2 linked regions of the Saccharomyces cerevisiae S288C genome follow. The protein of the gene in region 1 purifies or fractionates together with the protein of each later gene. This does not show direct contact. Each region holds a gene or a part of one and is shown in the gene's direction. Other genes may lie near its edges.

What was found. The genes of interacting proteins can lie anywhere in the genome.
Region 2: the proteins of SMX2 (region 1) and BRR2 purify together in Saccharomyces cerevisiae (affinity purification with mass spectrometry; 5 studies listed by BioGRID, with this or other methods). This does not show direct contact.

Annotation. Positions count from the first base shown.
Region 1 is NC_001138.5:101,804-104,483, forward strand, and holds SMX2 (mRNA splicing protein SMX2), read left to right. Parts: upstream 1-1,895; coding exon 1,896-2,129; downstream 2,130-2,680. Other genes in the region: LPD1 (dihydrolipoyl dehydrogenase), read right to left, coding at 1-1,324; GNA1 (glucosamine 6-phosphate N-acetyltransferase), read right to left, coding at 2,180-2,659. UniProt on the Saccharomyces cerevisiae protein: Plays a role in pre-mRNA splicing as a core component of the spliceosomal U1, U2, U4 and U5 small nuclear ribonucleoproteins (snRNPs), the building blocks of the spliceosome.
Region 2 is NC_001137.3:533,969-537,730, reverse strand, and holds the start of BRR2 (ATP-dependent RNA helicase BRR2), read left to right. Parts: upstream 1-1,709; coding exon 1,710-3,762. Other genes in the region: RAD24 (Rad24p), read right to left, coding at 1-1,431.

The DNA of each region.
Region 1 (2,680 bases):
AAATACGCTCGGTCTTGGAATCGATCAAAATCTTCACGAAACCTTCAGTGTCTTGGTTGGTCTTGGCTCTTGAATTGGCCGCAAAGGGGAACTTACCAATTTTATAGTCAATGCCGGCTTCTTTCAATTGCTCTTCGGTTTTACCAACCCATGCTACTTCTGGGTGAGAATACATGACCGAAGGAATGTTGTTATAGTTGACATGACCGTGACCAGTTTTCAACATTTCGACAGCTGCAATACCTTCCTCTTCGGCTTTGTGAGCCAGCATTGGACCAAATGTAACATCTCCTACCACTTTAATGTGTGGGAACTTGGAATTAAATTGGTCATCAATGACTAGGCGTCCCCTTTTGTCTACTTCTAATCCAATCTTTTCAGCCCCTAAGCCAGCAATGTAAGGTCTTCTACCAACAGCAACCAGCAAAACTTCAGCTTCCAAATTTTCTTGCTTATTCGTTTTAGTATCTTCTACAACAATTTCGACGACGTTCTTGTCGTCGTTTCTCTTTGCAGAAATAACTTTGGTGCTTAATTTGAAGTCCAAACCTTGCTTTTTCAAGAACTTTTGGGTGGCTTTGGCAACCTCGCCGTCCATAGATGCACCAATTTGAGGTTGAAATTCTACTACAGTAACCTTGGAGCCTAATCTAGAGTAAACTGAACCCATTTCCAATCCGATGATTCCTCCACCAATGATGGTTAATCTTTTGGGAATTTCCTTTAACGAAAGAGCACCTGTTGAAGAGACAATTTTTTCCTCATCTATTTCAATACCGGGGAAGGGTGTAACTTCAGAGCCCGTGGCGACTATGATGTTCTTAACATCTAGTATGTGGTCTTCCTTGACAGTGCCTTCCAACCCATCAACGGGAGTTACTCTGATCTTCGTTTCGTCTTCGAATGAACCATTACCTTTATAATAGGTGACCTTATTTTTCTTGAACAGAAGCTCAATACCTCCAGTTAATTGCTTAACAGCGTCATCCTTAGCCTTTTGGAAGTTTGCTACGTTAATTTTGATATCACCGTTGACGTCAATACCTCTCTTTTGCGCTTCCGTATGCATTTGGTGGAATAAATGAGAATTATTTAGAAGTGCTTTGGAGGGGATACATCCAACGTTAAGACAGGTACCGCCTAATTTGCCTCTTTTTTCTACACATGCAGTGTTAAATCCCAATTGAGCAGCTTTGATAGCAGCCACGTAACCAGCAGGGCCACCACCGATGATGACTACATCATGTGACTTGTTAATGGTCAATGTCCTGACTGTGGACGAAAAGGCACGCTTATTATTTAGGAGTGATCTGATTCTTAACATTGTGAACTGTTAGTATGTTCTTTGATGGTACGACAGAGACAATCGAACAAAACCGTATATATATAAATATACGTTATATGTATATATATATCTATATATATTCGAGGTGAGTCAAAGGGTACGAATTATCATCAAATTGTTTATTAGCATTATAATACACTAAGTTTCCATTAAGTTGCTCCGCGGAGACTTCTCGCCAATGAGGGAACAGCCGTTCGAGATGATAAAGTATTCTAAAAACGAGTCATCATTAAAAACGATTCACGTGATATTCACGTGCATAAACCATTAGTAAGTATATATTTTTAGTGGGATATATGAGGGTACATTGCATCATGACTATTCGTGGTAGTCACGCATACGTTTGTCAGTGGCATTGTTCGAGTATTCCTCTGTTCTTCATTTCCCTTTTTTCCTATAGCCTCGCCTACGCTCTTTCACGTTTGTGCTGATAGAAACAATGTGGTAAGAAAAATTAAATCTCTAAAGGTGCAATGAATGTATAAGAAAGTACAACGCATATAGAGTATCCGGCATAGGACAGGATTACGCAAACACACGCACAGATACAATGGTTTCTACCCCTGAACTGAAGAAATATATGGACAAGAAGATATTGCTGAATATAAATGGATCTAGGAAAGTGGCAGGAATTTTGCGAGGCTACGATATTTTCTTAAACGTCGTTCTTGATGATGCAATGGAGATAAATGGTGAAGACCCTGCCAATAACCACCAGCTAGGCTTGCAGACCGTCATTAGGGGCAACTCCATAATATCCCTAGAGGCTCTAGATGCCATATAAAATTATATATATATATATATATGTCGACCTCTATGTACTATACAGCAATACTATTTTCTAATTTGCATTTCCACGCCTGCGTTGCTAAACCCACATTTTTCATAGAATTTGACATTTTTCTCATCGCAATCTAAAATAATCTTATAACAACCGTAGTCAAAGCCGATAGTTACCAATTGATCAATCAAGAGCTTGCCCAAACCTTGGCCCTGATACTTGGAGTTTACTGCAATGTCCTCGATGTGGCCACATAGCCCCAGTTCATGAATGATCTTTCTTTCGATGATGATATTCCCCGTAGCGGCAACCGTCTCGGTGCGCTTGTCCACAATCACCATGGGGTTATATTGCATTATTTTTTTATCTTCGTTATCATTCCATACTGTGGCTTCATTCCAGTATTTTATGAGTTTGCTGAAGGATTCGGGGGTAATAGTGCCCACGGTGGTCAAAACCTTTAGCGTCTCAGTGACCTGTTCCAAATCCCCCTCTTCCATTCGCCTTATATAAAATCCATCGGGTAAGCTCATTATTTTATGTTGATATCCAGC
Region 2 (3,762 bases), on another chromosome or scaffold:
GAAAGAATGTACCGCGTTGTACTTATAAAGACTAACATTTAACCAATCTTCAGCTTGAACTTTAAATGAATTTTGTAATTTTCTTACTTTCCATTCTCTTGGAAAATAAACCGTTCCATGATTATGGCCTTGTTTACTGATGTTACGAAAGGTTTTGCGCACTTCTCGTAAACCATACTCATTGGATTCTGGTAGACCATTCATATTATCACACTCGCTCAGGCAATCCACAATTGATGATGCATCAGAAATGCTGAATTCGCCTTTATTAAATGTGTTATAGTTCTCTAATATTCCTAATTTGAAATCCTCTTTCGATAACAAATTGTTCGAATTTTCGAAGAGGTTATTAATCATTTCGTTATCGTTATTCGTGCTATGGGAACCATGTATCACCTTCCCAATGGCATGAAAGTATGATATGGTGGATTCTCGGGTTGAAATCGGCAAACTTCCACTTGATGTCGCCCAAAATTGAAGGGTCGTAATGGCCGACCTAATATCACCAGTCTCTTGCGCAATATAATCTATGACTTCCTGTCTTTTATTCCATTTATTTTTCTCCTTCAACATTTTCATATTCTGTACACAAATAAATTTCAAGTGCTTTTTTAATAAAGTGCTGTTAATTGGATTAAACTTAATTCTTTTCAACCTTGGATGCATCAATATTTCTTTGTTCATTATGGTTTCTGCACTAAATGTATAATCAATACCAAATTTGCGATAATTATTATCGTTCTCTGGAATTTCACATTCAGTTATACATATAACAAGGGGAGGTAATAGAGGCTCCGAACTATATAGCCACTGTAATATAAGTTGTTGAAATCGACGTCTGGTATCTATATGGAAGACGTTGGGAAGGTCCTCGATAAGTATTAATGACAGGTTGGACATCACAAGATACCGTGCGCCTTTTAAGAACTCACTAAAGCTTTCCATCTGAGGAAGATCGTTGACTATACAATCACCTCTAAACTCGGTCACTTTATGCTCGTTCGGGGTGCTTCGAAAGGACGTTCCGTTGCTGTTTTGTCTGTATTTAGGAACTAAGATTTTTGAGAGTTCTTTTATGACCGTACTTTTAGAGCATCCACTGGGGCCAGACAGTAGTAGGATCCTATGCTTGGCGTTAGGTAAAAACATGGCATCTAAAGCTTCTTGTACATCTTTAAGTTTTCTTTTATGTATGGCCACTTGCTCCAAACAATTGGGCTTGAACTTTTCGTACCACTGTTCACCGCCGTCGTCGTTGATACTTGGGAGGATACTAGACGTATCTTGCTTGGAAAGAAAGTCATTTTCAGTGCTTCTCGCCTTACGAACTGGCGAAGTCGGTCTAGATGAGCTCCATTTTGTTATTTGCGAGCCCAATGAACTGAGACTATATTGTAATAAGGGCCGTTTGTTCAAATTCGTACTATCCATATCATTCAGACAGGAACAAACTTGATAATTAGTGGTGTTGAATCAAGTACTATTAACGCATTGTGATGATCTCTCAGATATCAATGCGTGTTTGCTTCTTTGACGATCTAATATTGAATATTGTCGCTCTTTACGAGAATATTAAAAATTTATGCTACTAAAGCTATGTCTACTATAAAGGAATAATACACTAATAGAGATAATCTTGAGTAAAATAAGGTGAAGGTAAATATAAGTAATTGCTTTGGAAGATTTACCGTGAGCCTTCGTTATTAAAAATGACTGAGCATGAAACGAAGGATAAGGCCAAAAAAATTAGAGAAATTTATCGTTATGATGAGATGTCCAATAAGGTGTTGAAAGTTGATAAACGCTTTATGAATACCAGCCAAAATCCTCAAAGGGATGCGGAAATATCACAACCAAAATCCATGAGTGGTAGAATTAGTGCTAAGGATATGGGACAGGGCCTGTGCAATAACATTAATAAAGGACTAAAAGAAAATGATGTAGCCGTTGAAAAAACTGGAAAGAGCGCATCATTGAAAAAAATTCAGCAGCATAACACCATTTTGAATTCTTCCTCCGATTTCAGGTTACATTATTATCCAAAGGATCCCTCAAATGTCGAAACTTACGAGCAGATTTTGCAGTGGGTTACAGAAGTTTTAGGCAATGATATACCCCATGATCTTATTATTGGAACTGCTGATATATTCATCAGACAATTGAAAGAAAATGAGGAAAATGAGGATGGTAATATTGAAGAGCGAAAGGAAAAGATCCAGCATGAGCTAGGCATCAATATAGACTCCCTGAAGTTTAACGAATTAGTTAAACTTATGAAAAACATTACCGATTATGAAACACATCCTGACAATAGCAATAAACAAGCAGTAGCAATTCTTGCCGATGATGAAAAATCAGATGAAGAAGAAGTAACAGAAATGTCCAACAATGCTAATGTTCTTGGGGGAGAAATCAATGATAATGAAGATGATGATGAGGAATATGATTACAATGACGTTGAAGTCAATTCTAAAAAAAAAAACAAGAGGGCATTGCCAAACATTGAAAACGATATAATTAAACTCTCCGATAGTAAAACAAGTAATATCGAGAGCGTTCCGATATACTCAATCGATGAATTTTTTTTGCAGAGAAAACTTCGGTCAGAGCTTGGTTACAAGGATACCTCTGTAATACAAGACCTGTCAGAAAAAATTTTGAATGATATTGAAACACTTGAGCATAATCCAGTAGCGTTGGAGCAGAAGTTGGTTGATCTGCTTAAATTCGAGAATATATCACTGGCTGAATTTATTCTCAAGAATAGATCTACAATTTTTTGGGGCATACGACTGGCGAAGAGCACAGAGAATGAAATACCGAACTTAATAGAGAAAATGGTTGCAAAAGGTTTGAATGATCTTGTGGAACAGTATAAATTTAGAGAAACTACACACTCAAAGCGTGAACTCGATTCCGGTGACGACCAGCCACAGTCTTCGGAAGCAAAAAGAACAAAATTCAGTAATCCAGCAATACCGCCCGTCATAGATTTGGAAAAGATTAAATTCGACGAAAGTTCTAAATTAATGACCGTGACAAAAGTATCCCTACCGGAAGGATCATTCAAAAGGGTGAAACCACAATATGACGAAATACATATTCCAGCTCCTAGCAAACCTGTTATTGATTATGAGTTGAAAGAAATTACTTCTCTACCAGATTGGTGTCAGGAGGCGTTTCCTTCATCGGAAACAACGTCCTTAAACCCTATACAATCAAAGGTTTTTCACGCAGCATTTGAAGGTGATTCAAACATGCTAATATGTGCACCCACTGGTTCAGGTAAGACGAATATCGCGTTATTGACGGTATTGAAAGCCTTATCCCATCATTATAACCCGAAAACTAAGAAATTAAACCTTTCTGCATTTAAAATTGTTTATATAGCACCCTTGAAAGCCTTAGTACAGGAACAAGTCCGAGAATTTCAAAGGAGGTTGGCTTTTCTAGGTATAAAAGTCGCTGAATTGACTGGTGATTCTAGGCTTAGTAGAAAGCAAATTGACGAGACGCAGGTTTTGGTGTCTACGCCAGAGAAATGGGACATAACTACTAGAAATTCAAATAATTTGGCCATCGTAGAACTTGTTCGTTTGTTGATTATAGATGAAATACATTTGTTACATGATGACAGGGGACCAGTATTGGAAAGCATCGTGGCTAGGACATTTTGGGCTTCCAAATATGGCCAGGAATACCCCAGAATAATAGGCCTTTCTGCCACCTTACCAAATTATGAGGATGTCGGTAGGTTTTTAA